4 linked regions of the Notamacropus eugenii genome follow. The protein of the gene in region 4 interacts with the protein of the main gene of each other region in a pairwise test. Links are inferred from orthologs where the notes say so. Each region holds a gene or a part of one and is shown on either strand. Other genes may lie near its edges. The genes, in order: BOLL, RBM42, ATXN1L and RBFOX2.

Evidence for each region.
Region 1: the proteins of RBFOX2 (region 4) and BOLL interact in binary tests that used the Homo sapiens proteins (3 or more experiments, as listed by UniProt). The two-hybrid records come from large-scale screens. The link is inferred for Notamacropus eugenii from reciprocal best matches to the Homo sapiens genes RBFOX2 and BOLL.
Region 2: the proteins of RBFOX2 (region 4) and RBM42 interact in a two-hybrid assay, tested with the Homo sapiens proteins (2 studies listed by BioGRID and IntAct). The link is inferred for Notamacropus eugenii from reciprocal best matches to the Homo sapiens genes RBFOX2 and RBM42.
Region 3: the proteins of RBFOX2 (region 4) and ATXN1L interact in binary tests that used the Homo sapiens proteins (3 or more experiments, as listed by UniProt). The link is inferred for Notamacropus eugenii from reciprocal best matches to the Homo sapiens genes RBFOX2 and ATXN1L.

What each region holds. Positions count from the first base shown.
Region 1 is NC_092876.1:268,130,461-268,137,651, reverse strand, and holds the start of BOLL (protein boule-like), read left to right. Parts: upstream 1-4,081; 5' UTR 4,082-4,632; coding exon of another isoform or gene 4,633-4,704; intron 4,705-7,191. UniProt on the Homo sapiens protein: Probable RNA-binding protein, which may be required during spermatogenesis. May act by binding to the 3'-UTR of mRNAs and regulating their translation.
Region 2 is NC_092876.1:32,862,794-32,870,652, reverse strand, and holds the start of RBM42 (RNA-binding protein 42), read right to left. Parts: upstream 3,067-7,859; 5' UTR 3,052-3,066; coding exon 2,855-3,051; intron 2,636-2,854; exon of another isoform or gene 2,229-2,635; intron 2,126-2,228; coding exon 2,011-2,125; intron 1,863-2,010; exon of another isoform or gene 1,834-1,862; coding exon 1,746-1,833; exon of another isoform or gene 1,656-1,745; coding exon 1,578-1,655; exon of another isoform or gene 1,091-1,577; coding exon 1,025-1,090; exon of another isoform or gene 911-1,024; coding exon 756-910; exon of another isoform or gene 400-755; coding exon 64-399; exon of another isoform or gene 1-63. Other genes in the region: HAUS5 (HAUS augmin-like complex subunit 5), read right to left, coding at 5,646-5,757, 5,896-6,028. UniProt on the Homo sapiens protein: Binds (via the RRM domain) to the 3'-untranslated region (UTR) of CDKN1A mRNA.
Region 3 is NC_092872.1:712,069,200-712,076,545, reverse strand, and holds the start of ATXN1L (ataxin-1-like), read left to right. Parts: upstream 1-4,297; 5' UTR 4,298-4,448; intron 4,449-4,472; exon of another isoform or gene 4,473-4,995; intron 4,996-6,190; 5' UTR 6,191-6,258; intron 6,259-7,346. UniProt on the Homo sapiens protein: Chromatin-binding factor that repress Notch signaling in the absence of Notch intracellular domain by acting as a CBF1 corepressor. Binds to the HEY promoter and might assist, along with NCOR2, RBPJ-mediated repression.
Region 4 is NC_092874.1:293,145,488-293,152,498, forward strand, and holds the start of RBFOX2 (RNA binding protein fox-1 homolog 2), read right to left. Parts: upstream 3,170-7,011; 5' UTR 3,155-3,169; coding exon 2,849-3,154; intron 1-2,848. UniProt on the Homo sapiens protein: RNA-binding protein that regulates alternative splicing events by binding to 5'-UGCAUGU-3' elements. Prevents binding of U2AF2 to the 3'-splice site.

The sequences.
Region 1 (7,191 bases), on a different chromosome or scaffold from region 4:
AGAGTTAAATGGGACTGTGGGAATTATGTTGTCCATCTTCATTTACAGAAGAAATTGAGAACTATAAAGGTTCAGTTTATGCTAGGATTTGGAGTTAAAAAGGGAGCTGCTTGTGCTTGTCCTTCCTTTTGGAAGAGGACCATGACAAAATGATGATATGACTTGCACTTGACTTTGTTTGGAGTGAGGGAAGGCTGTGCAAGGTCACCAGCCTCACTTTCTCCTCCAGAGCCATCTGGGTCCGGTGGTCTGAAATACATCAGACTGACTGGAAACGGGCCAGAATGCAATGGGAGACCCTGGGTCTTTTCAGGTTCTCACTTTGAGTGAGGAAACACCCATTCAGTGAATAGGCCTCTTTAAGAAGTGATTGAAAAAAAGAAAAGAAAATCAAGCTGGGGAGGGGAAGACCCTCAGGGTTACTGGCCAAAAGAGAAATAGTTACTAGTTACTATTTACATTCACTATGCCCTAGGAGGGCAGAGACCTTTTGTTGTCCCATCTAGTTTAGGAAGTGATCAGTCCAATTCCCTCTTTTTATGTATAACTGAATCCCTCTGCTTGTGACTTGTCCAGGAATCCAAAGTAAATTAGTGGTAGAACTGGGCAAATTCAGGTCTCTTGACCAGCAGTTCAAGTTCTATTAGAGAATGGTAGAAGGTAAAGCTATTAAGCTATGATGGGGTCAGGAAATCACCCCGAGGCTTTGAATCCCAGGCCAAGGAGTCTGATCTTAATTCTCCAGTTAACACCATACCATTGAAGACTTTTGGATAAGGGAGGAACAGGATGAAAACAGAGGAGAGATGAATACAGGCACTGAACTAATCCAAAATCATTTTCCAATTTTTTTCCCCAGGCGTTGGATCTGTAACTAATTACATTGATAGAGAAAGCTCCTCTGAAGAAATTCCCTCCATTAGTGCAGAACAATAATTTATAGACTTGAGAGTTCCCTGGGACGTTGAGAAGCTAAGTGACTTCCCCAAGATTCCACATGTGTCAGAAATGGGATTTGAACCCAATTAGTCCTGATTCTAAGGCTAGCTTTTCTATCCACTACTCATGTTCCCTCTCTTTCCACTAATATCCTTACCATATTATACTAAAACCCTATTAGAAAGTCATAAAACCCTGTTATATTTAGATCATGATCACCCATTTATAATATTGTTCCCATGGAATTAACTACCTCCTTTGGTATTATTTTGCCATAGCATTTCAGAAATTAATGACATTAGGTGAGATGTGCTTGTCCTGGTAAGCAGTTTAGTGTTATTTTAGGAAAGCTAAATTAGATATCTAAAGGTGAGTGATGGATTTAAAGGTTGAAGAATTGGAATTATTCACCTGTAAGAGAGGCAGTATAGAAGTGGATAATAACAAGAATGTTAAGCTACAACTGATGAACTTGATTGAATATAAGGCATCTCTAACATGCTCATGTGCTCCATCTCTCTGGAAGACATCTTCCCTCTGTCCTTTGAACCAGACCCTGCATTTCTAACTAACTTTGGTGAGAGTGGTCTTGTAAATATGTGTGCTTAGTAGAAAGTGTGAACAAGGAAAGAGAGTTTTGGTTATTCAATATAAGCCCATCACCACTCCTGGAGAAATAATTAGAAGTATAGCATAGAGTTACTGGAAAACTGAAACATAATTCCTCAATTCTAGAACATGGCTTTTAAGATTAAAAGAATAACATTCTCCTTTAGTGTGAGGATTAAAACAAGAAAATTTGGGTTTAAATAGCATGGGCAATCTAGAAAAGATGAAATACAACCGAAGGATTAAAAGTATGCTTCTCATTATATTCATAGCTAGTAAAGTTAAGATCACCTTGATGGTGATCTTTGAATGTGTTAAAATTAATATAGGCACTTTTGTTGGTTTTATTTTAATCCTCTACCTTAGAAGTAAAACCCATTGTAGTAGTGTGCAGAATTATTACTGTAAAATAATTTTCTCTATTCCTCTTTTCTTGGTTAAAACCTGCAGCTTCTTGATTCTTGATTTTTATTTTTAAAAATTGTTCTTGAAGTGTGAGCCTCAGCCTACGTCTGGAACAAACTACACCAAGTTTTCCTTCCCAATGAGACCTGGAGTAGTGTTTCCTATGACAACAATTCTCCCCAAACTATAAAATCATGCTTATTATAGGGAATAGGCTAATAGGGGATACTATTCCTGGAGGTGTGTGGCTCAGCCAGGCTAGGATCAGCAGTTATGGGCTTGCTGGTGAACTGACACCAGAGTACAGTAGTAGAGAGAGGACCCAGGCACACAGAGAGGGGACTTGGAGCGCCGAGGGCCAGGGGCCAAGGACCTGGAGCCCGTCCTTCCCAGGAAGGTGGAGTGGGCTAGAGTGGTCGCCGAGCCTCCAGGTGAGTGATCTCCAAGCTCCTGTGTCTGAGCGGCTCCCAAGCCAAGCGGGGGGCGAGCAGCGGGGCACGCAGGGCCGTGTTCCCAGAGCCTGCCCTCTGCTCCCCTTCCCGGCGATGAGTGACAGCGGCAACAGGCGGAGGGTGGGGGAGCTGTCCAGGGCGGCCCGGGGAGGCTGCGCTCGCCACCTTCCGCCAGCCTCTCCCCAACTGGTCTGCTGCTCCTTTAAAGAGCTCCTCTTTAAAAAAAAACATAGCGAGGAAACAATGTTTCTAAACTAACGAATTACAAGGAAAGACCTTGTCTAAGCCTCTCAAAAGGGCCAAGAGTTAAAGTCTCCTGACCACGCCCCCTTAGCTTCCTACCCTCCGAAACCAGGATAAAGCGAGCGGCTGAGGACTAGACGCCCTGGACCCCCAGCCGGACCCCCAGCTGAACCCCTCCCCGAACCTCAGCAGCTTTAGCCACTTCGTGGTCATGTTAGTCAAAGAAAAAATGGGTAAAACAGGTATTTACGTACTGCTTTGAAGTTTGCCCAGTCCTGGACGTAGATCACTTTCCCCCTCCCTCTTCCTCGCCACTCTCCCCTTACAGGAGGATTCACTCCATTCTCTCCCTTCCCTTGCACCTGCCCCATTTCAGATTACTGGGAATCCGCCCGCCCGCGCCAGCCACCGCACCCTGCCAAGGGCCCGGGAGTCTCCCGCAGCGCCCCCTCCCTTGGTTAAAGGGCCCGCCCGCACCACCTTCCCCACTCCCACTCCCCCGCCCCCGGCGGAGACAGGGGACTTCGGCTGGATCCCGAGTGTGGCAGGTTCACGCCCCCGCGTCGGAGCCGCCACCTCTGCAGCCACAGCCGCGAGCGGGGCGGGGGTGGGGGGGGTGGGAAGAAAAAAGTTTCTCTCGTCGGGAAACGTGGTTCTGCTCCATTTATTTGAAGGTTTCGTGGTCCGGTTTTTTTTAGTTGGTTTTTTTTTTACACTTTAAAACTTTTTTTTTTTCCCGAAGGGAGCCCAAGGAAGATGGAGACGGATTCGGGAGCGGTGAGTGAGAGAGGACGGGATCCCGGGGCGGGCCAGGCCGCCTCAGCCGCCGCCTTCCCCTTCTACGCTTGTTGGGTGCGCGGGGGCTCGGGGATTCCGTTTTGGGGTTGGGGTGCCGGGCTGGGTCAACAGCTTCCCCAAGGAAGGGCTCCCTCGCCCCGCCCTCCGGAGGCTAGGTTACGGCCTCTAACGCCGCCGCCACCGCCGCGGGCCGGGCGTCGCGGCGCGGATGGGAAGCCTCGAGAGCAGGGCAACCGGGCTCGTATGGGACCGGGGCGGGGTCGGAGCGGAGGCGAGGAAGGAAGGCGGCCTGGCGTGGGGGGGCGCTCAGATGGGGCCGAACGTTTCTGGGGAGGGGCGGCGGCTCAGGCCACGTGCGACAGAAGGGAGACTGGAAAGGTGGCTGAGGCCAGACGATGACGACGCCGCTTCCCCCAGGCCGGGGGCAGTGAGCTCTCCTTTCCCGCTGAAGCCACGGTCTCGAAGACCACGCCTTCCCAGCGCCCACCCAACCTCCGAGGAAAGCGGAATTTTTCCGCCTCAGCCGTGGCCAACTTGGGCTTCGAGGAAGCCCCTCGTGAGACTGTGGAGTCGCCCCGCCACCGCAGAAAACGATAGGTGGGGTCCCGGGGCTGCGCTCCGGGGCCTGTCTAGCCTTTGATCCGCTTCGCAGGCGTAGAGAGGGGACGGGCTGGGGGGGAAGGGGAGGGGCCGGGGTGAAGGGGAGGGGCCGGGCTGCGGCCCTGAGGCAACGTGCCTGGCCGGCTTCTGCCCCGCCCCCTCGCCGGCGGGAGGGCCAATGAGCGCGCCCCGTGAGCGGGAGGGAGGCTAGTCTCGCCAGCCCCGGCACGCGCCTTGGAAGGCTGGGCGCGAGGCGAGAACGAGGCCGTTGAGCTTCCTTTGGCTGAGCACAGCGTTTGGGCTAGCGGTGGACCAGACCTCATTGACCATAATTTCCCCCCCGCTCCCAGCTGGGGCGGGGGTGGACGCTCGAGGCTATGTCCGCTCCGGTGCTGACCCCAAGCAGCTGGAGGCAGTGTTTGCCGCGTCTGTTTCCGCGCTCGCCGGCCTCGCAGTGGACCGGGCTCAGAGGCAGGGGCCGTGACCGTTAGCGCGCCTCTTCTTCCAGCTCCGCTTGCAAAGCTTATCATGTTTGACGGTTAAACTAAGCCGTGGTATTTAACTCTCAGAGAAAAACAGTCACTACATGGCCATTACCGTGGGAAAGAACTTTACTGATAGGAGTCTTTTTGCCGAGCTGCTTCTGCCGAACATCAAGGTGCGTGGTATGGCACGGAGTTTTCTGTATAAGTGATGGCTCTGTTTTCTGACGCTTCTGGAGTGCTGCTGAGGCCGGCACGGAGGCGACGGACACGCATTTTGTTGTTCAGCCGTGTCCCACTCTCCCTTACCCTCTTGGGGGTTTTCTTGGCAGAGATAGAGTGGTTTGCCATTTTCCTCTCTAGCTCGTTTTACAGACGAGGAAACTGAGGCAGAGTTAAGTGACTTGCCCAGCTAAGAAGTGTCTTAGCTTAGATTCTGAGCTCAGGAAGATCGTCTTCTTGACCACAGGCCCAGCACCTTCTCCATCGTGCCACCTAGCTGCCTTTTTTTTAACCAAGTGTCATCACGGATAGCGTATAGGCTGGTAATAAGAGAGTCTCTGCCTTAACGTGGATTACAGAGACAGCTGCATAGGTTTTGTTTTACAGATGGTCGTGTGTGTGTCTTCTGTTACTAAACATCCTTTGACATTTGATCATTTTACAAATTGTATGACACAGTTTCTGTTTTTCCTTTCACAAATAATAAAGCTTGTTTTTCTACTTTCCCTACACTCAGGAATAAGTATTGAATGATCAGACACCATTTCCATTCCTTTTTTGCCTTCTCTCAAAAAAATTGCCTTTTCTCCATTCGCATAAACGCAGCGAAAAAATTGGTGATTGTATTTAAACCATTAACTTAAGGAATATCTCTTTTCAGGAAGACAGCAGATGTACAGGGGATTGTATTTGAAATTAAGAGCCTTGGGGTTTAGACATTTACTAGATGTGTTATCTTTGGCAAGTCAAATAACTTGTCTGAGCCTTGGTCTCTGCATCTGTAAGATGGACATAATGGCACTGTCTCCTTCAGAATCGTATGTGAAAAACCTCTGTGGAACTCCATTTTCAATTTTCAGTTGTCTTTATTAGAAAAAATTCTTAGTCAGCAGTGGGGTTTTTGTTATACAGATAGCCACATAAGTGAACCATACATGCATCTTGTTCTCCGCAGTTCTTCATATTATTTTTTTAAATTCTATTTGTATAGATACTAAATTAGTAGATTATTTTAGTTGAAAGTCAGTAAGTTTCCTGTTTTTATGGAAAGTGATCTAGAGTATGCCATTTAGGTAAGTTTGTTATATATCTGAGAAATATTTGATATTTAAAACATTTCTTATAAAAGGAACGAATAGTTTGAGTTCATCCTTCCTTTTCAAAGAAGACCATAACATCAGAGAAATGATGACATGACTTGCACTTGACTTTGTTTTGAGTGAGGGAGGGCTGTGCAGGTCACCAGCCTCACTTCTCCTCCAGAGCCATCTGAATCCAGTGACCAGATATTCATCAGGATGACTAGAGATGACCCAGGATGCACTGGGAGATGTTGGCCTTCTTAGGCTGGCCTTTTCAGGTACTCGCTTAGAGGGAGGTAACACCCATTGAGTGAATAGGCCTCTTTAAGAAGTAGTCAGGGAATGGCCTTTTTAATGAACAAAAGAAAAAAAATAAATCAAAAATGGAACAAGCCTGAAGTAGAGATCAGAGTGGTCTCTGAAAGACCTTAGAGAGGAAGTGCACCTCCAGATGTCAGCATCCAAGGATAAATCCCCATCACCCCATCCTAGTTGCGGCCCAGGGAAACAGTGTTTTAGAAAACAACCATGCCTAATTATGTAAGAAAGGGACTGAATGAATAGTTAAGTAATACTGAAAAGGGGTTTGATCTATTCAAACCTCTCTTCCTCTTAAAGAAAGGTCTAGCCAGAGACAAGTTTGCTGTAGGTAGTCTATTCAGAGTTGACTGTACTTAACAATACTGTACTTAACAGTAATATTTCAATAAAGCAGATCCCTACACCCATTTCAGTCAGGTATGCAAACATTAATCAAAAGGTGAATTTCTGCCAAACTACAAGGAGAAAAATTTCTGTATAAGCAAAAGTTAGTGTTTAACCACCTTGACAAAAATGGCCAAAGCAACCTTTCTACAATCCTTTTCATATAGGTAACACATTTAAACTTTTCATTGTTATTTCCTCAAGCAATTCTGATAAAACTTAGAGCTAGGTGCTACCATATTAGTATGTAATGGAAAAGCATTCCTTGTTAAATACTGTATAATTCAGACTTCTCTAATTCAGGTTGGTCTTCCTCTCATTTTAAAGTGGTAAGATTTTAATGTACTATATATAGATTCTGTAGATACTATAACTAGGAAGGTGTTAAAGCTTAGCTCAGAAGTTTAGTAGGTATGAGGGAAGATAATTACTAAATTATCACTTTGAAGCCATTTGTTCTTCAGCAGTTAAGAAGTAACCTTAACATCAACTACTTTTCAAGTTCCCCTTCCCCCCAAGTATGCTACTTTAGTACTCATTCTATTCTTGTTTTTCAAGGTCTGTCTTTTTCTTTTAAATTTCAATAGCATCTACAATAAAATAAGTTTTGTTGTATTTTATTCAATGTGGTAAAAATATCATTTAGGACAGTTA
Region 2 (7,859 bases), on a different chromosome or scaffold from region 4:
ACCCTTGCCCTCCCTATCCCCACTCCCATGCTGCTCTCAAGGCAGTGCCTGGTCCACACTGACCTCGAGGGCCATGAGTCCTGGGGGTGGCTGGGGCTCAGGCCTGGGCCTGGGCCTGGGCCTTAGGGACAGGAGCTCAGGGATTCGAAGTGGTGGAAGCAGTCCCCGAACGACTTCCAGGGGTAGAGGCAGGGGCTCAGGCTCAGGCAACGGCATGGCCAAGGGCAGGGGGAGGCTGGGCCCAATGACTGCTGCAGCTCCTGGGCCCCCCACAGCTGCCCCTGCTTCTTCAAGCCCTGCAGCCGCAGCAGCTGCCACAGCCACAGCAGCAGCGTCTTCTTTCTCTTTCAGACCCAGGCCCAGGCCTAGGCCTAGTTCCCGAGGGGCCGGAGGCTCCTCCTGACAAAAACACAAGGAGATGAAGGTTATCAAGAGAAATAGAAGGGAACAAAGGGCCTCAGAGCCAGGGATGGGGAGGGCATGGGGAGCTGGCCCCCACCCAGGGTCAGCAGGCACTCCCAGCTCAGACTGTGGAGTACCTGAGTGGGTTCAGAGCTTGAGAGAAAAGAGACAAGAAAAAAGAAACAGATATAGAGAAAGAACAAGAAAGGAAAACATAGAGAGATGCAGAGAAACCAAAGACATCTAGGGGAGATCCAGATGATACTGTTAAAGTTGGGGGCTGGGTTCTAGGGTTTACAATAGGGATGTTTGTATCCCCAGGCATTCCCTTCTCACATGCCCTGCACACTCACTGGGGGAGGCCTCAGGGTCGCCATTGTGCCAAGTGGGGGTCCTGGTGCCCGGGCCATTGGTGGCAACATCATGGGAGGTCCAGGGGGACCAGGTAAGGGAGGCCCAACCAGGGCCTGATGTGGGGGCCGAAGAGCCATGGGGCGTGGGCCACCTGCTAAAGAGAAAGAGAAAGTGTGTGGTGAAGGGGGTCCCTGGATCTTTGAGGTGCCGGGGACGCCAAAGAGGGGATGGGGCCGGGCCAGGAACATTCCCTAGGCCCTTCTCTCACCCGCTCTCTGCAGCACATGGGGGACGAAGGCTGGGCGCAGGATGGGGGGACGCTGCGGGGGCACTGCTGAGAGACACAGACAGAGATGGAGACAGGGTGTGAAGGACCATGTTTCAGGGTCTTTGAATGAAGGCCTCAGGGGTTCAGGGGTTGAGAGGGTCCTAGGGTCACTGCTGGCACCTCTGAATCAGTCTTTTGAATCTCAGGGAGTCCTGAGATCGTTGGGAGATCTGTATGTGGGAGGAGCGGTTGGGTATCTAGGGGTTAGATGGTTTTAAAGGGCCTGACGGTATCTTTTGGGGTCCCTTGGGGTTAGGTCTCTGGAAAGGTACCATGGTTGGGAGAAATATCTCTGAAGAGGCATTGTGGAATTGTTGGGGAGTTCTAAGGGCTCAGGAAAAAATTCTGGGGGAGTCTCAGGATTTTGTGACTGTCCTGGAGGGATTTCCTGGGTAGGCTAAATATTTACTGGAGGTGGAGGTATGGGCACTAAGCGTGTGTGTATTAGGGGCAGAGAATGTTGAATTCTAGGCTTTGGGTCCTGGGCACTGACCCGCCCGGCGAAGGAACATGGCATCCCGGGCTTCAGGGCTGTCGAGACGACCTCTATCTCCTCCAGGACCAAAGCCAACTGTAGAGGAGAAGAAACTGCATTGGTGGGGGGACCTTCTGGACTATTCCTTCTTGACCCACCCTCCCTCTTACGTCCTTCCCAACTCACCAGGACCCACAAAGGGGCCAGGGGGACCTACAATGGGAGCAATTACTGTGGCTGCTGCCGCTGCTCGGGCCTCCAGGCTCTGCTGGACCTGACCAGGAGGGAGAACAAGAGAAAGTGGTCAGTGAGGGAGCTCAAATTCCCTTTTTCTTGGGAGTCTAGACTAATAGACAAGTGGAACAAAGAATAAAAGCTGGTTTGGAATTGAGGAACTAGTTGAATGGTAAGAGTCTACACATCCACCAGAAGGTACACTAGACCGCCCTACCTGCTGGTAGGTGTTGGTGGCAATGATTGGGCGGATCACAGGTGCAGGCTCCACAGCTGGTACAACTGGGGTTGGAATTCCAGATATTGGAGCCCCCAAGACTTCCTGCTCAAACCTGAGACAGAAAGAAGAAATGACTTAGACACACAGAAGAATCACTGGGTTTGGTGCCAAAAAGGATCTCAGAAGCCACCTGGTCCAACCCTCTCTCTTTGCAGGCTCGGAAGGAGACTTGGGAATGTTGAAGGACAGAGGGAGAAGTATAAGAAAGAAAAACATGGGAGTCAGACGAAGATTAAGAGACACCACGAAAGATGGAAGTAATCGGACAAAGAAAAAGTTTAGAAAAAACAGCAAGAGTGAGGCAAAAACTAAGACCAGGACGTGGACAGGGAAAGTAAAAAGAAGATAAAAAATCAGGACTACGCAGAGCCCGAGCCACCTCCGGAGGGACACGGAGACAAACACACCAACAAGAGAGAACGAGACGGAAAGATACATCCAGAGAGAAGACACGGAGCAGGGGCAGAGACGTCCAGCCTTAGGGCCGAAGGGAGTCGTCTAGAGCAGGTGAGGTCTCAGAGACGGGACCCACAGGGATGGGAGATGAAGGGAGGCGGGGACACAGGCGGCCTCACCCCCGAGGAGGGGCCAGAGGCAGCGGGCGGTGCGGGATCGCTCTTCCCAGGCCCAGCCAGAGGACCGGAGACAACGGGTAGGCCCCGCCCCCTTTCCCTGCCCCACCCCCACGAGGTCGGCCCTCCCCGCTCCCGGGCTCCCCGGCACGGAGGCAGAGGGACTGCCGGCCCGGCCTCGGGCGCGGCGGGGGGAGGGAGGGGCTCACAGCGCCATCTCCGCCTCCATCTCTTTCAGTCGCTCCTCGCCGCTCTTCCCGGGCACGCAGGGCCCTGGGCCCGAGGGCAACGCTACCCCCGCACCCGGGAGTCCCGGGGGCGGCCCTGTCCCAGCCATCGTCGTCGCCACAGCCGCTTCCGCCGTCTGTCTCTCTTTGCCGACGCACGCCGATGACGCAGAACGCATGCGCTCAAGTGGCACCAATCAGCTTCGCTTTATGCGAGTCCGGCAGGCGCGCAAGCGCAGTTGCTTCCTTGCCTCCTGAGCCAATGAGAGCGCAAGGAACCAGAGACCACGCCCCCAGCCTGCAACTTTGTTTCCATCGGCCAGTAGTGTCGGGGGAGATTTGTTTTCCTGCTGGGAGGGCGGGGGCGTTCCTGGTCTAGAGCTGGGGACTCGGGTTTAATCCCTAGCCCGCCTATAACTGGCCCGAGTGTTGCCTGGACTCCGTCAAATTCTCGCCGCTCTGGCTTTTCTACTTGGAAAGTGCAGGGGCTGCAGTGGGGAGCCCTGGGGTAGTAGAGCCTTGAAAGGCCGGTTTTCAGGAGGCGCTGGCAGGCTGGTGAGCCCGGAAAGAAAGCCTTCGTGAGTCCCCCGGAGCGAGAGGGTGCAGGCTCGGGGGGCACGGCAAGGAGCCAGTTTTAATAGGTGAACAAGGAAAGAGTGGGGGATGCATAGCTCAGTGATACGGGTTGTGAAGCCTTTTAAGATTGGGGAGATCCGAAGTGTAAGCAGATGGGAAGGGCCCGAGCACGGGGTGTAGCGCTTACGAGCTGTAAGCACGCGCCGTCCACGTCACTAAACCTCGAGCCTCAGTTACCTCATCTGTAAAATAAAGACAATACACCTCCCTCCCAGGACACGTCTGCCCAATGTGCGTTACAGAAATACTATTAGCTATCAAAACCGAAGAGGGAAGCACGAGTGGGAAAAGATGGGATGATCACCTTTGCCAGGGTATGGGAGGAAAACTCTTTCCGGGGAGCATATCCAGCTAGAAGCCGAGATGAGCCTTTTCTAGGGAGAAGTAGGAAATGCCAGGTCTAGCTGAGGCCAGAGAAGGCTCGGAGGACTCTCCTGATCCCTGGAGGTAGGCAGACTGAGACAAATGGCCTTGGGGAACAGTCCCTCCCCACTCCCAGGAGCACCCGGTTTCGTGCAGACTCCTCCAGTGGAGTGCTGCAGCTGGGCTTTACTAGAGCCTCAGAGGCAACACTGAAGGTTTGTGGGCTGGTAACTGAAGCGCCCGGATTCCTGAGGGGGGTAGAGGGAGTGGAGGCCTTTACTGCAGAGGGGGGCTTTGGGAAGGAGGCCAACAGCTTCTGCTACCACCTCTCAACCCGACCCAGAAGAGAGCCTTGGGGATCATCTGGTCCAGTCCAAGTCCTTGCCTTGCTGAGACCCCAGAAACGGGAAGTGATTTGAGTAAGGTCACATTCAACTCCTATTAACACGAACTGAGGAATAATAAAATGGATCCCAAATTTCACACTCGGAAGGAACCTCACAGACCCCCTCTTTCCTGCCTTCAAAAGGCAAAGAAACAGAGGAGACCTAGGGTCGAGATTGGATAGGAGTCAGGATAGGGCTGTGGTCCCTGATTTTTCAGCCAGGTCACTGGAATTTAGGTTTCCTGGGGAATGGGGAAAGCATATGGGGCTGGGGGGGGGGGGGGGGGGAACACAGGGGACACAGCAGCCAGCCCTTTAGTTTTCCAGGTTCATCCTGTTCCTGGCTGGGATCTGTGGGGAAGTCTAAGTACCTTGGGAGTACAAAGCTTTGACAGACAGCAAAGCGCTGAAGCACCGCATCTCAGAGGGCATGGCTCTCCAGCAGGGGCTCAGGGTCTGGCCCCTTCCCCTGCCTTGTCTCCACTCCCCAATAAATACACTGCTACTCTCCTAAGCAAGACCTTGAGGAGAAAATGGCAGCCGAGTACCCCAGGGCCTGGGGAAGCATTTCCCTTTTTTGGGAACTCTGGGGGGGACTCACTTCCATAGGGATCCAAGATCCCTGAAGCATCTCCCATTACTAAGATATACTACACATTGAAGCAGGCCCTCCTGTTCAGTCCTTGAATACTGGGAAAAAATCCAGGAAGGCTAAAATTTCATGAGAACAACCCGGTCCCCATGTGGCCCCAGGGCCACCAGGAGTAAAGATGCCACTGTATCCTCCCCAGGAAAGGGCCACCACAGCCCTGGCCAAACTTAAGGAGAGGGAGGTACCCTACACATTCTACTGCCAGTCCCTCCTCCCCAATATGTTAACATGTGCCAGGGGGAGCCAAGGGCACCCTGAGGGTGCCAGTGTGGAAACCAGCTCTTAGGTCATGGTCAGATTTTCTTCCCTTCCAAGGGGTTGGTCTCTGTCCTAAGAACCTTCACAGTGGGAGCTTCTTTCACCCTCCGCTCCCAACCCCATCATCTGGTCCACCTGGCACAGATCTGCTCCCCCTACCCCCTTCCTTAGAGGAGTATCTCAAGTCTTTGATTTCCTATCCTGCCCCAGGAAACCCTGATTGCCTCCTCTTGTTTTAACTGAGGGAACAGGCCAGACACGTCAAGGGCCAAGAGCACATGAGTTGGTCCAGGGGCACTGAAGGACTGGAGAAGTTTAAGGGTCAGAGGTTAAATGCACAGAGAAAAGCCCTGGTCCTGAAATCTCTAAGCACTTTACTGGGAGCAGGAATTTGTCACTTTAACAGTGAAAGGATGAAACCAATTCTTTTCAAGTCCAATAACTGTCTGGCTCTGTGCTTCTGCTCCAAACCTCAGCGTTCAGGCTCTTCGTCCTTGGGCCCGTGCCCAGCGAAGCTTCCACTGCTGGAGGGAGAGGCCATCCTGGTCCTGGAGCTCTTCGGGAAGTGCATTCTGCCCTGGCTGGTCCCACCTGGGGGCGAGATGGCAGGGACAGGCTAGGTCCCTGGAGGTCCTGGATCCTCCTTCCAGCCCAGGTCTGGAGCATCCCCTTCTCAGTTCTCCTCAGCCCCCACCCCGGGTCCCTCAGCACCAGGGCACCCCCTCTCACCAGTCCCCCACGGCCTTCAGTAGCTGGGGGATGTGGTCCAGTCCCTGTTCCATGAGCTCCTCGAGGCGATGCAGGATGGGCCCCAGGTGCTCTTGCTGCTTCTTCTCCTCAGATTCCTGGATCTGAAGTAGTTCTGGGGGGGGAGGGGAGGAAGCAATTCAACGTGACTCAGTGAGCATCCATTAACCCCTTCCACTGGGCAGGACCTCGTTTGGCAGTGGGATTTTCACATACACGATCCAGTCCCTACCCTCAAGGACTTTTCAGTCTAAAAGGCAGAAAAGTCTTGCAGAGAAACAAGGGAGAGTGAAAAGGTTGGAAAATAGAATAAGATGCAATGTTTTTGGAAAATTTAAGGAGGCAGATAACTTTTATCTGGGGAAACTGCTTCAGGTTTTACAAAGGAGATGGGAGCCTGGCCAAAGATGAGGAAGGACTGTCTTCTCTACAGGCAGATGGCATGGCCTGCACAAATAAATGCACAGGCACCAGCAAGTCTGGCTTGGCCATCATCATCAAATTCAACCTCCACAGAGCCAAGGAGTCCAAGGGGTCTTCTGAATCACAGCATTTCAGGTACTTCATTGTTTTGAGTTCACCTCCTCCAGATTAATCTGATTTTCATCTGCTGAGGTCTGGGCATTCAAAGTTGCACATGTGTGAAGAGCACTGCGTGGGCCATTTTTTTCCCACGAACCTTTGTGTTCTCCTTGACGCCTCCCTTTCCTTGACCTCAAACATCCCCTGGTGCTGGACCCCAGGCATTCTGCCTCTACACTATCCACACATGCATTTCTGCTGCCAAGAGCTAGCCATGTGGCAGAAGGAGGGGGTGTAGAGATCATCGAGGTGATTGGGCCTGAGGTGAAGGGGATTTCTGGCTGAGATGGCTGTCTATACTGAGGCCTACCCAACTCCTGGACACCTACTTCAGCAAAAACCTGAAATCTACTCCAGACTGAATAATGACCAAGAAATAGACTGAAAACTGCAAAAAGTGATTTCTTCCACCCCAAAACTGCACCAAAAGTCATCAGTCCACAGGCCATAGAAAAAGGGCCCATCAGCAGAGCAAGGAAGACTATACAGCCTTCTAGAACAACCAGAAAAGGGCCAGGGCCAAGGGCAGCCTGTATGGGCAGCCAGAATGAAGTGCTCCCCCCAAAAGCCCCAAACAGGAAGGGCCCTGAGAAGGGAGAATGTTGTTCAGACCAGGGTGCTGCAGGGCTCTGGGGTCCCTGGCCTGACTTGCCAAAGAGGCCTTGACGATCCAGAACTCTGGACCTTGGAAGAGCAGAGGGCTTTGGAAGGAGGTGGGGATGGGAACCCAGATAAACCAGGGTCAGACTAGGCAAGGCCGAACACTCCAGCCACAAGTACAGAGCTGTGCAGTGAGTATCCAGATTCCCACAAAGCCCCAGTTCAGGAGCTGCAGCTTTAGAGATGGAAAAAGAAAAAAGAAAACAACGAGTATCATAGATTACTACCAGTCTATAAATCTGGCCAGAAAAAAGAAAGAGTAACTCTGTTAACTGCAGGTGGAGATTCAAAGAAAAGCAATGGATTTTTCTACAGGGATGACTTGAATAATGAGAAAATGAAAAGATAAAAATAAAAGCTCTTTAAGAAAGAATAAATAGCTTAGAAGAGAAACAAGTAAATCTTACACCTGAAAACTAGAGTCCAAAGAGAAATTCATGACTCCATGAAACAGTAAAAAGTAGCAGAAGAAAATCGAAAGATTAAAAAAAGAAAATGAGGCTCTCAGACATCACAAACAGCTGGCTTGAAGAACAGATAAAGGAGAGATAACTGAAGAATCATTGTACTCTCTGAAAACCATGCTGTATTTGAAAGAAAAAAAAAAAGCCTGGACACGATATTCCAGGAAATCCTAAGTGAAAACTGCTCAGATCTATGAGAACCAGAGGGTGAAGTGAAAATATAAAGAACCCACCAATTGT
Region 3 (7,346 bases), on a different chromosome or scaffold from region 4:
GGCTAAGAAATAAGAGTGGTGGATAAGTGGAATAGGTTAGGGATACAAGACACAGTAGTCAGTGACTATAGTAATCTACTGTTTGATAAATCCAAAGACTCCAGCTTCTGGGATAAGAGGTCATTATTTGACAAAAACTGCTGTGAAACTGGAAAATAATGTGCCAGAAAGTAGTCATAGACCAATATCTTATACTGTATATCAAAATAAAGTCAAAATCAGTGCATGATTTAGATATAAAGGCTGATAGTATAAGCAAACTAGGAGAGCAAGGAATAGTTAACCAGTCATATTTATGGAGCATGGAAGAATTTGTGACCAAATAAGAGATAGAGAACATTATGAAAAGCAATATGGACAATTTTGATTACATTAAATTGAAAAGTTTTGCACAAAGCCAATGAAACCAAGATTAGGAGGGAAGTAGAAAACTAGGAAAGTATTTTTATAACCAGTGTCTCTGATAAATGCCTCATTTCTAAAATATATAGAGAACAGAATCAAATTTATGAGAATACAAGTCATTCCCCAATTGATGTGTTGAAGGGATATGAACAGGCAGTTTTCAGAGGAAGAAGTTAAACCTATCTATAATCATATGAAAAATGCTCTAAATCACTATTTACTACAGAAATACAAATCAAAACAACTCTAAGATATCACATATACCTATCAGATTAGCTAACATGACAAAACAGGAAGTTGATAAATGCTAGAGAAGATGTGGGAAAACTGGAACACTAATGCATTGCTGGTGGAGTTGTGAACTGATCCAGTCATTCTGGAGAACCATTTGAACTATGAACAAAGAGCTATAAAACTATGCATACTCTTTGACCCAGCAATACCACTTCTAGGTCTGTATTCCAAAGATTTTATTAAAAAAAAAAAGGAAAAGGATCCACATGTACAAAAGTATAACAGCTTTTTTGGTGGTAGCCAAGAATTGGAAATTGAGGGGATGTCCATCAGTCGAGGAATGGCTGAAGAAGTTGTAGTATATGAATATAATGGAATACTATTGTGCTATAAGAAATGATGAGCAGGCTGATTTCAGAAAAACCTGGAAAGACATATATGAACTGATGCAGAATGAAATGAATGAAACCAGGAGAACATTGTACACCGTAAGACACATTGTGCTACGACTTATCTCTTTTCAGCAATGCAAGGATGTAAGACAACTCCAAGAGATACATGATGGAAAATGTTATCCATATCCAGAGAAAGAACTTTGGAGTCTGAATGCATATAGAAGCATACTATTTGCTCTCTTTTTCTTTTGTTGTCTTGTTTCTTTTTTCTCATGGTTCCTCTCATTAGCTCTAATTCTTCTTTACATTGTGACTCATGTGAAAATATGTTTAATATGAATGTATAAGTAGAGCTATATCATATTGTATGCTGTCTTGGGGAGGGGGGAGGAGAAAAAAGGGGGGGAAATTTGAAACTCAAAATCTTAAGGAGGTGAATATTGAAAACAAAAAAATAAATTAATTAAAATTAAAAAAAAGTTTTTCTTGACATTATGCCTTAATTTACATCTTTGTTAATTCCACCCTTTGTTCTTGCTTCTGTCCTCTGGGATTAAAGAAAACAAATTGAATCTTTGATTCACAGTCTCAAACTCAGCCCAAAATAGAATTCATTACATCTCTCCCTATATACATTCCTCCTCCACATTTCTCCTGATGATACAACCAGCAATTCAATTCAATTCCATGCAATTCACTGAGCATTTATTAAGCATTAGCTATGTGCAAGGTACTTGCTAGGTGCTAGGGTTACAAAGACAGTAGAAAAAATTGTCTATCCTCCTCCTTCTAGTCATCCAGATTTTCAATCTTAGAGTCATTTTGATTCTTCCCTCTCCCTTATCAGCCATATCCAAGCAATTGCTACATCTCATAGACCATCATCTATAACATCCACCTCCTTTTCTCCATTCACAGCTGTTTGACTATTGTAATAGCTTTTTAATTGGTTTCCTGACTTAGTTCCTCTCTTTTCCAACCCATCCTCCAAATAGTTGCCAAATTAATATTCCTAAAGCACAGATCTAGCTATCTCAAAAATCTTAATTATCACTCCCCTCTCCTCACCAGTTATTAGCATTTTTCACATCTGAAATGACTTTGTACATATATTCCCTGAGTAGATAAGCAACTTGAGTGCAAGGACTATTTGGCTTTTGGCTTTGTAGCACTGAACATGGTACTTTGCACATAATAGGCACTAAGTAAAAATGTTTGTTGAATTTTTGAAGAAAAATCTTCTGTACATTGGAAGTTTTTGAAAACTGGAAGCAACTGCACCAATGAATCCCTTACTGGAGAAGGAACTCCTGTTTCAGTACGGGTTAGACACTGAGCCTCTGAGGTCCCTTTCAGTTCTGTGAGATATTGTGTACCTTGAACGTACACCAAGGACCTGCAATTTCATTGAGTGCACAAATTGCAAACCCTCTTTGATTTGTAACATGGGTGAACTGGCTTAAAAGGGCCAGTTCTTAGAGCATATGCAGATATTTCCCATCTGATTGCAATCCAAGTGCCCACAGGGGTTTCAATCTGTGAAACCAGAACTTAATTTCTTGCCATGTATGACTGAGGAGCTTATGTTAGGAGATGGTGAAAAGCCATCTAGTTGGTTGTCTAGCTGTCAAGAAAAACAGATGACTCAGATGAAGTTCAGTTGATACTGAGTGGGTATACATTCATCTCTCTTATTTTCTCTGCTGCCATAAAGGACTACCTAAAGTTGGTCACAAGAACCAGATGAAGGAAGAGCAGAAAGCTTGTTTCCTATCTGTATATGGCAGCTATGAGCACATGGCCTCCTCTGTTTCTTGGTTTTTATTCTTTCTTGATCTTGGTCAAATGAATATTCTGAAATGAAAGTGTAAGATCTTGTAAGATCACGAGATATAGAGTACTCATTAGAAGGCCCATTAGAAGTTGTAGTAGAACAGCAGTAGTAGCAGTGGCCACTAGAGTAGTGGCCCACAGCAATGGACATGGGTGCAGACAGATATAGAAAGATAAATCATCTGTGAATGGCATCATTGTCAGGAAGCATTCTATCTGTCATGGCAGATAGAAATGTTAACTTGGACTCTAGAAAGACCCTAATCTTTTGGGTCCATTAGAAAGCTAGACCTAAGAGGAACTTACAGAGGGCTCCAATGAAACAAGAAAGGGACTTTTAGGACCAGGATTGACATGTACCCCTTTGCTACATTGATTATATATGTTTGTTCATTATCGTTGGACTTTAAGTTCTAGTCCACTCTCCCTATGGGTTTCATATATTTTGCTAGGTGCTTGTACCCCAAGGGCTTTGGAGAGGATTTCCAACTGTTCTTATTACACTTGTAGTCTTTCTTTCTTTTTCAAGTTGATGGTGTCAACTCCTTGATAGTAAATAGAGACCACACTGGTGGGGGCTCATGAATAACCATTCTAGAAATCCAGCTTCTCAGGTTTGCCTCCAGAACTCTGAGAAGCAGTCTGTTGCCTGGGGGAAAGCAGTTTAGGAAATACAAGCCCAGGTTGGGGAAGGAGGACTAGAGAAGTATGCTATAAATATACATATAGCTTTGGGGAGTTGCTGGAAGCCAAGTGTCTGAGGTGGAATTTGAATGGATGTCCTTATTTCCAAGTGTAAAAGTATTGTATCCACTGTACTGAATTACCACTTTCAGACAGTTTGAAATGGATGGAGGGTTGGACGGATGGATGAAGGGATGAATGATAAATGAATGGGTGGAAAACATGTATCAGAGGATTACTGCGTCTTAAACCGCGTTAAATTAGGGGATACAAAGTATCAAAAGTAACAAAAGTACACGTCTCCACCCTTGAGGGAAGCCACACGTACAAGGGAGGGGCAGACAGGTGTTCTCCCAGGGATGGAGACTCCGCCGTCATCGATGTGATTTTCGCTCCCACAGCAGAAGGCGTTGATGCGACAAGCAGGGGGTGCCTCCTGGACTTGCACATCGGGCTGGGATGTCCCAAACAAAGACTCCGGGACGGCCCAGGCTGGGGTCCTCGTGCGCTCTGGAAAGGGGTGGGGTCAAGGCGAGGTCAGGGTCACCTGGAGGAAAGGGGCGGGGCAAGGCGGCCACGTGACCCGAGCCGCTCCCGGGCGCCGCGGCTGCGGCGGCCGTCGCCGGGGTTCGGCCAGCTGGCGGTGCGTCTGGCCCGCCGCTCTTCCCCGCGGTCCCCCCGCCCGCCGCTGTGACGCCATCTCCGGGCGCCGGGGGCAGGATGCGGTGACGCTATCTCCAGGCGCCAGGCTGGGGGCGCTGGGCGCTGGGCGCTGGGTGTGGGGCGGCTCCGGGGCCGGGGATGGCGGCGGCGGCGGCGGCGGCGGCGGCGGCAGCTCCTCAGGCCACGGCCCTGACACCGGCGGGAGGAGCCGAGAAAGCGCCGTGAGATGGGCCGGTGAGTCTCGCCGCGAGTGGCCGCAGCTCTGGCCAGGGTTGGAGGGGGTCCCCCATTCTGGCTGCCCCCTCGGCGGGAGGCGCCCCCCTAGCTGACCCTCATCCCCCCACACCCCCGTAGGCCCCACCCTCCTCCCGCTCCGTGACCCCCAAACGAGGAAGCGGGCGCCCTCCCTTCGAGGTTCCTCTTGTGACTCTGCCTCCTCCGGAAATTTAAACCCATCCCCCGCCCCGTAGTCTGTGAACCCGCGGCCCTGGCTGGGAGCCCTTCTGGGTGCCCGGGGCAGAGGCCTCGGGCAGTAGGACCGGCCGAGCCGCTGCCCTGGAGGTCAGCGCTCCCCCCGCGTCGGGGCTTAGCGGGGAGCCCCGAGCTCCCCCTTCGCCTTCCCCTCGAGTCCCATCTGGAGCCGCTTCTTCCGGAGCCACATCCCAAGCAAGGCGTTTGTGACTCCGATCAGTGATCGATACGTGCTGGAGCGTCCGATAGGTATCCCGATTTGGTCCGCTGCTGCTGTTCCGTCAGCTCTGTTGCATCCCCCTTCCTTTCGGTATTCAGCCCTTTGCTCGGCATTCAGGGACAGAGAGGGGGGGTAGAGTGGGTGGTTTTCTTGAATTCTTCAGAGATCGGGGGCATGGTTCGCCCCTGTGGGCATAACATGGCACGGCGTTGTTGAATGAGCCAGAACTGACTGTGCCTCAAGAATAGAAAGGATGTGCGTGACTCTTTCCAGTAGGAAATTTGTATTTATGTGACCAGGAATTTGCATGGTTACTTTATCCTTTAAGTCCATTTTCCTTAAGAATTCTGGCTTAATGCCGTGTTTATGGCTGCTTCTGCACAAGCCTTCCGTTTCCAGGACGGTTTGGACCTGAGATGACATGTCTTTTTGATGTCTTTCACTCCTAGACTTGGATGTACTGAAAAGTAGTCAGCAGCTTCTCATAGTATTTCCCCTGCTTTATCGGTCCGTTGTCCTGTACTTGGCATCTGTGGGCCTTTTAGATTGGTGTGTTTCTAGTTTAATGGGTGTGTGCTTCTTGGCTTCCTTCAGTTAGTAGATTGTAAATTCCTTGAGGATTGGCACTGCAGTTTGTTTCTTTAGCACCTGATATTGTGTTTTGTACAAAGCTGGCATTTAGCAAATGACATTGGCTGACTGGTTGGTATCCAATGTTTTTTTGTTGGAAATCTTAATAAAGCTTCCTCTTGAGTGACTTGACTCCCTCTTGACCTCCTTTTCTGCCCCAGAAATATTAATAGTTCTTTTCCCTGGTGCTTCTCTTATTCAAACGACCTCCATGCTTTAGCTTTCCACACCTCAGAGCAAAGGTGAAGTCATGAAATTGATCTTGTCTTTTTACTTGGTCATGGGCCTAGACAAGCTTTTCTATTAATTATTGGATCCAGCTGAATATTTATATTGGATATAAATTAAAACTGTAAGAAGATAGTGAAAGGTCTGAGCAGAAAGAACCAAAAAGCCTGTCACATTGGAGAGACAGTGAAATGAGATTCCTGATTTGTATTAGGATCCTTAAATTACATAAGATTAAAAAGTAACTTTTTTTAAACAGATTGTGCACCTGTACTGTCTAGTTGCCGTACTACTCTGCTTAAAAGACCTGCAGAATTTACTTTTTGTATCTCTCCTATTACCTGTTTGTTCTCTGATGGTACTTGGAAGGGTCAGAAATGAAAGTGTGCTATTCATTCTTTTCTCCTATCCTGTTTCCTTTTTCCAGGCTACCACGCCAGTCGGGAGGAGACTGCTTCATATTCCAGTTGCCCAGAAGCATTGCTGGAAGTTCAGGTAATAAACATGGACATCTCTTTGGGTTCCTTGCAGAATAGCATCTGGGGTGTAGGAGAGCCTGGTATTAAACCTCTCCTCATCCTTAAGGATATGTCCTGAAGGCTGAAGATTTATTGGAAGGAATAGGTAGCAAACTTCATAAGAAGGGCCTCTGAGCCAAAAAAAAGATTCTGATTGATGGTGGCCAGAAATGCTTGTGAAAGGTGATTAAGGAAGAAAGGGGAAAAAAGAAAGCTTTTTTTTAATACCTACATTGTCCAGTGAAATAGGCCTATGATTCTAAAGGGGGATTAGTATTTTAGGAAGTGAGCTTACAACAACATATTTGAAAGTTCCAAGGAAAAGGAACCATTGACAACATCATGAAGAAAAAAGGGAAAAAGGAGAGGAAAGAGAATCAAGAAAACAGTGATGAGGTATTGCTGACCCAGAATTGGGGAGGGAGGGTAGTCAAGCAGAAGGAAAAAATTGCTCTTACCTGAACAGGAACTAGAGATTCTTTTAGCCCAGAGGGCAGATTGGGCCACCTTTTGAGGATGAAGAGAAGCAAATATAAGTTAAATATGGAACCAATTACTTGAATATGGGGGCTTGAGTTGCTCTGAGTCATAATGGGGAATGACAGTTTTTTAGAACCAAGTTGATGGCATTTGAAAGTTAACTCGGGAACTTTTGGATAAGGGGGAAAAAGGTGACAATGAGACAAGAAGGCTAGAAGACTTAGGGAGTGGTAACAGTGGGGTGAGTGATCCAAGGCCGGAGAGTTTAGCCAGGCAGGGGTGGGGATAGGTGAAGTCATAAACCAAATAAGAGAAAGGAGAGGAAGTGAGGATGAGATCATAGAATCAAGAGAGGGAGATGACACATTCATCTATGATAGCAGAAAGGAGAGAGATTTAAGGAAAGAGGGTCAGCAGGAAGATTCTGTGTTTAAGTCCTCACAGAAGGGCAATCTGAGAGCTGTGAACAATCAAGGTCATCATCAGAGATGTGACTAATGAAGCTGTGGGTCTCCTCAGAGGAGTGGTGCCCACGGATTATTTATGTTTCAACTAGCTCTTTTCCTCTTAGCTCTTTTTGCTTTG
Region 4 (7,011 bases):
TTTGTATTCCACACAGCACCTAGCCCAGAGCTGGACACTGGCAAGCCCTGAATATACGGACATGCCTTTGGGCTACAGTAACTAGAGCACTTAGGAACTAAAAAGTAAATAAATAAGCATCAGTGAAAAAAACACTGAGACTTACAATTGGCAGATAAACTGCTAAATCTACTTCCTCTCCTGCATCCCCCCAAAGTCCCAGAACACCAGGACTCAACAACTTTAAGATCTTCAGTCAGTCTTAAGAGAGATCATTCCATGAGGTTAAGGAAGAAAAAAAAACAATCTCAAGAGACCAAAGGAACTGTGTCCTACAGAAACTAACTGTCAAGCACCCCTGTCAAAGTTCCAAGCCTTCAGCATACAGCTTTCACACCAACGATGGGACACCTCAGCTTCTAGGTCTGAGAGGCCACTGCTTTCTTTCTAGTTTGCTTCCAGGATCCTAGATTATGGCTCCCTGTAGTATTTCTCCCTGCTAAAGTAAAAAGTCTGAGCAAAACAGGCAGACCAAGCAAAAGAATCCTGTAAGAAAAAATGCCCTCAATGTGGGGGGACAACTGGGACCCCATGGCACAGTAGGTAAACAAATGGGTCATCTCCCTTAAATCAACACATAACGGGACAAAACTACCTTCTAGAGAACAGATTTTGTCTTTTAAGAAGAGCAAAGAATCCTACAGAAAAGTACCATGCATGGGCACAGCAATTTCTGTGGCTCAGGAAGCCCGTAAGGGCTCTGAAAATCAGGAAACAAAGCTGAGAAGGCATTCAAGGTCTGCCCAGACTTCTAAGGCACCCTGGTCAGTTTGAACAACTTCTGGTTGCACAAGCAGGGTGAATACCACAGTGAGCAGCACCCCTCACCTCTCACACTAAATAAGGCTTTTCCAGGCTGAGACCATGCCCCTCTCCCCAACCACGAAGTGCTCTGGCTCTGACCTCAGACCATGTACCACAGACCAAACACCACACTCCCCATTCTTTCCACCCCTAATTTCTCATCTCAGAATCCTGAAGGTCCAGAAAACTTCCTTTCAGGCTTGAAGACAAGGAAGTAGGAAAGGAGTCTGTGAGAAGCCTGGCTGTTCATCCAAGGGATGCACCAAGCCTGGCACAGGAGGGATGCTTGTTGGCTTCAGTCTCAGCAGACATGCTGTTCCAAGTTAAGGAGGCTCAGCGAGCTGTGACCACAGTACCAAACTCTGCTGTTGCTAAAAGTCCCACAACTGATTTAACCCACAGCCTAAGCCACATCCCCTTTCTACTCTCTCTAGGAGTAGATTCTCCATCCCTCTCTTCTCTTGTCTAACTTCCTTGAGTCCACCTCCTCCATTTGTAGACCTTCTGGCCCAGAGTACTCAGGCCCTTATAGTCACAACAGCCCCTCCTTCTCGTCCTCTTCTGCTTGGTTCATCTGCTTGTTCCCAAACAACATATCCAAGCTTATTCCCATTCCTTTCTCCTCAAGAAGAGAGGAAAGAGATGGCCAAAGGGAGTCTCAACCCCACCAGAGTCATTCTCTCCTATCTTTCATTCTTCAGTATCTCTACGATCCACTAGTTGCCACCCATATTCACACACCCATACAGGGCTCTCTCTCTCTCTAGCCCTCAACACCCCCTTCTTCAGATCAGGTCCCTTTATACAAAATGAGAATTCCCCTTCAACTCCCTTTCCAAAACTAAATAACCCACCCAAAATTAAGGGCTCCTCATCCACTCACCTGCAAAACTGAGTTCCCCACCACCAAATTAAGAACTCCCTCCCAATGTTCCACTATGTCACTTCCCCCAAAATGAACTGCCCTCAAAAAAGCATTTCCCAAAAGTTGAGCACACTACCTCCAAAAGACCCCTCTTCAAAAATGAGGACCACCAAAACCAAACATTTCCCCCTTCCAAAAATAGCTATTTCTTCTAAAAACCTTGGTCTCTGTCCAAAACTAGACATTCCCATCACCAAACAAGGTATCACCATCATAATTCCCCCGAAACAAGTGACTCCCAAATCTAGCAAAGCCCTCCTTCCAAACTTCAAAATCTGTGTGCTCCACCTCCAAAACAAGGTGTCCTCCCTTTTCTCAAAACCAGATGTTCCCTTCTCCAAAAAGTTATCTTTCCAAAAAGGATGTTCCGCGAAATGAGTGTCTCTCAAAGCTAATGTCAGATTCCCCAACACTAGCATTCCCTACATGATTTGGGAACCCCAGTTTCTATTTCCCCAAAATCAGGTGTTCCTAACAAACCAGGTATTCCCTAAATGTCTTGCTTCCCCAAAACTAGCATTCCCCCCAAAATCTAAAGATTCTTATTTTCAAACCAGGTGATTCTTTCCCCAAGCCAGAAGTCCCTCTATGCAAAAATAAATGCCCCTCTTCCTAAGCTCCAAAGCTACCTTGCCTTCCAAATAGCTGAGTAACCGGCTTCCAAACCAAATGTCCCTGTCCCTGTTCAACCACGTGCCCCCCCTTCCCTAAACCAGGTATCCTTTTAAAATCAGGGTATACCCATCCCCGAACAGAATGCTCTTCCCGATGAGTGTCTTCAAAGGCAAGCATCTCCTTACCCAAAGCGGTTGCCCCTCCAAAATCTAAGCACGCCCCAAACCAAGTATCCCTCCCCCTAACTAGATGCCCCCTGTCAAGGTGGATGTCCTGCTCCCCCTATCCAGATGCCCCCTGCCAGGTGTCCCGCTCCCCCCCCCCCCCGCCAGATGCCCTGCCTCCCGCCAGGTGTCCCCCCTCCTCCCCGCTCCAGATGCCCCTCCCCCGCAGGTGTCCCGCTCCCCCATTCCGGCGCCCACCGGCCCCGCCCCCCTCGAGCGTGCCCCGCCCCGTCCCTCTCACCTGCATGCCGCTGCCTCCCGCTCCGCCTCCCGTTCCTGTTCCCGCTCCGGCTCCCGCTGCGGCCGCTGTCCCCTCGTCGGGCCGAACCTGGGCCGGCGCCCCCGCGCCCTCCGCCCCCTCGTCGGTGCGCTGCCGCTTGCCCGGGCCGGGGTCGGCGGGGCCGGGGCCCGCGGGCGGCGGGGGAGGCGGAGGCGGCGGCTCCAGCTCGGACTCCCGCTTGACGCCCCGCGCGGGGCCGGGCTGCGCGGGGGGCTGGGGGGGCGGCGGCGGCGGCGGCCGCGGCTGAGCCTGGGCCCCTTCCGCCATCCGCCCGCCCGCCGGCCCCGCCTCGCCCACTCCGCCGCTCCGGGCCACGCGCGACAGGCCGCCGCCTCTCGCGCCCTCACACACGCTGGCCGCGCCGCGCCCCGCCACCGGCCGCGCGACAGTCGCGACTCACGGGCTCCCGGCGGCCCCGCCCCCCGCGCGCGCGAGCGACTCCCCGAGGCGGGCGCACACTCCTCCACGCGGGCGGGGGCACGTGCGCGTGCGCGTGCGCGACGGGCCGGCCTTTGGCGCGCTCGCCTCGCTCGGCCGGGCTCCCCTCGCCTGGCTCCTGGAAGCCTCGCTCTCGGTCTGGGCCTCGCTCTCGGGCGGCTCGCGACGGGGACAGAGCGCGCACGCGCCCCCGCGGCTGCTGGCGCGCGCGCGCACGAGGCCTTCCCCCCCCCCACCGCTTGGCCGGCCAGCCTCCCGCGCGCTCGGTTTGTCACACACGCAAACCCTCGCCGCCTGAGAGCCAGACACAGACACACCTCTCGAGGGCTCCAGACCGGAGGAAAGGAGTGGGGCGGGTCCGAGATCCCCGGGGGGCGGATGTTTATTTGGGGGAGGGGTCCGGGACCCGGAGCGAGCTGACTGGCCGGGAGCTGCGGAGCCGCCTTCGCAGCAGCCCGGCAGGGGCGGGCCCGAGGGGAGGGGGCGGGGCCCGTTCCCTTCGGCAATCTCCGTCGCCTCCGGTCAGTGGGGCCAGATCGAGCCCGACCGGCGCGATAGGGAAGGAATCGGCAAGTTTCGGGAATCTCCGGGAGGCGAGGAGGGCTAGGGCAAAGGGAAGGGGGCGGCAGAACGGATCCCGAGGGGAGGGGCGGAGAGGAGGCGGAGGCAGAGGCGGCCGGCGAAAGGGGTGGGCGTGGCCTGCCGCCTTTGGGGGCGGGACCTGCTTTTCAGGGGCGGGGTCACAGGTCTAAGGCGAGCCACTCGACAAAGAAAAGGGGCGGGTCCTGTCAGGGCCCCACCCCCAGGTTGAAGCTTATACAATCAGGGGTCTAACTCGGCCCAACCTTTTCATTTGCTGAGACTTCCCCAAGGTCACACTACGTAGCAAGCCGCAGTGCTGGGATTTGAACCCTCCGTTAATTAGATTCAATTTGTCCCGTCTCTATCATACCTACCTGGCCCTGCTAATAGAGCACTGGTTTTGGAGTCAGAACGATCTGAGTTCTCAGACATTTACTTGCCCCGCGATCCTGGACAAGTCACTTATTCTTAGTTCTCTCAACTGTAAAATGAGGATAATAATCCCCAGGTTTGTTGTGAGGATCAAATGAGATAATGCCTATAAAGCACTTAGCCCAGTGCCTGCCACGTAGTAGGCGATTAATAAATGCTTGTTGACATGACTTGAACCCAAGTCCTTTGTCTCCAAACACAACCCTCATGCCATTATGCTGGAGTTGGTGGGAGGTGGAGGCAAGGGGCAGGGAGGAATCTTCAAATCTGGGGAGGTGAAAGGGTGAGCCTGTTCTACCTTGGGCACAGTCTGATGTTCGCCTAGGAATGGAAAGGAGTGTGGAGGTGCCGGTTACTTCTCTCGGAAGGTGGAGGGGCGTGGCCTATTAGCCTGGAACAAGACTTTCTTTGCCAGGCTGGAGAGGTGGCTGGGCGGGAAGTACTTATCTCTGCAGTGAGAGTGGTGGGCTGGGAGCCAAAGAGAAGGGGGAGGAGTTGGGCGCCCCGCCCCCCCTCAGGTGACCCTTGTCTTAGGCTCAGTGGATGCAAACCATTATGACTCAAATTCACCCATCTGGGGCCAAGGGAAGCTGTGCCTGAGTAGAAAGGTTTGTGGGTGTAGGAGGGAGATTGGCGGGACTCTCCCTCTCCCGTTCTGCTTGCAAAAAAAAAAAAAAATCTCCTTGCAATAATAATAGCTTGTGTTTTTATATAGTACCTACTACGTGCTAAAATGCTTTACCATGATTTGATCCTCCCAGCAACCTTAAAAGGTAGGTGCTATTATTATATTTTACAGATGAGGCAGACGGGTTAAGTGGCTCACTTAAGGTTACACTGCTAGTAAGTGTCTGAGGCCAAATTTGAGCTCAGGGCTTCCTGACTCCAGACGCTGCACATCCCAGTCCAAACCCTGAGACAGTTCTCTTGGTCCATTTGTTCATTCCATGAGCATTTATTAATTGTCTGCTCCTTGTGTGCAAAGCTCTATGGGGATCCAATGAAAAAACAGTCCCTGCTAGCAAAGCCTGTACATTCTCCAGTGGCGGGCAGGGAGCTAGCCTTGGGTTTCATTTGACTTGTGATGTTGTGGGGCCCATAATTTTTCCTGCTCAAAGCATAGGGGGAAAGAGGGTCCTACAGTGACAGGATATAGATTTAGAGCTGAAAAGGATCTTAGAGGTCATCTAGTCTGACTCTCCCCTTCCCCTCCTTTACAGGAGAGGAAATTGGGCCCCAAAGAGATTAAGTTACATTGAATGGCAGAGCCAGACTTGAAACTCAAATCCTCTAACCCCAAATGCAGCCATCGTTCCCTTTTACTGTCCTGCCTTTCCTTCCCTCTTTTACCCCTACCTCTTAGCAGTCCCAGGTTAGAAGGTCCAAGTCTCTCCTGCCTCGAGCCTGGAGGGGACTGGGGTAGAGTTCCGAACCAGGAACCAAGTGAACCAAGCAAAGCCAACTGATGGGAACAGCTTTGGCTTCAGGGTCAAAGGGCCTGATCTTCAAAATCTAGCTCTACCACTGCCTGGGTGATCTTGGGCAAATCCCTTCCCTCTTGTGGTCACAGTTGCCTCCCCCATAAAATGAGAGCATTGGAAACGCTGCTCTTCTCATGAATTGTCTATTTAAAGTAGTAGGCAGATTCCTCCAGGGCAGCCTATCCAGACTGGGAAAGTTGGAACCCCCTTCCAACAAATGAGTGCTGACCTGGCTTTGAGGTGGCAGCTGGGATAAGCCAAAGGTCACCTGGAAGCATGGTGATTTTCTGAAAACTTCCACCCCCTACCTCTCAGGACAATGTCTGGGGCCAGGTCTGCCCAGTGGCCTTCTAGGTCCTTTGTTTTAGCTATCCATGTTAATCCAGAGCCCCTCTGAAAAGCAGAGATAAGTATTGGAGGAATGCTTGCAGAGGCAGAACAAAGAGAAATCAGACCCTGCTGGATAAACAGACATGTGGAATACCTGTGAGCACCAGTGAGGTGGGGGAGGGGGACCATGAAGATAGAGATGGCTGATGGGAAGGACCCCAGCCCAACCAACACAGTCACCACTAGCAAACTCTAGTATGAGCCTAGGAAGCACAATGCCCTCTGAGCAGTGGGAAGTGGGAGCGGGAGGGGCAAGTAATCTCAGTGTGAAATAGAGACTGGAAGGGAGAGGAGGGAGATGCTGGCTGGGGAAAGGGAGGAAATGACCATTCCTTGAGTGCTGGGTTTCTTCACCTTGTATGTATCCTGGATGCCTTTAGCAGTCTGGCAAAGCCTGTGGACTCTTTCTCAGAATCCTGTTTTTAGATAATTGAAGGAAATGCTACATTTCAGTTAGGTTAGTAGAAGATGTCATTTTTCCCCAGACAAATTCACAAGCCCCTAGAAACTTTCCACAGACCTGTAGATCCCAGGTTAAGAGGGGAAGGGGAGAGGAAAGAGATAAGCACGTATCCAGAACCTACTGTGTGCCAGGCACCACACTAAGCACTTTTTACAAACATCTCATTGGATTCCCTGCTGGAACATAAGGAAGTCATGTTTTAACTCCAAAATGCATGTGATTCCCAACACATGAAACCAAGAGCCAGTCTCAGTTGGGTGCCTAGAAGCACCAAGAGGTGTCTAAGAAGTCACTGCTGCTCCTTGCTGCTGAAACCCAATGCCCCAGACCCAGAGTCA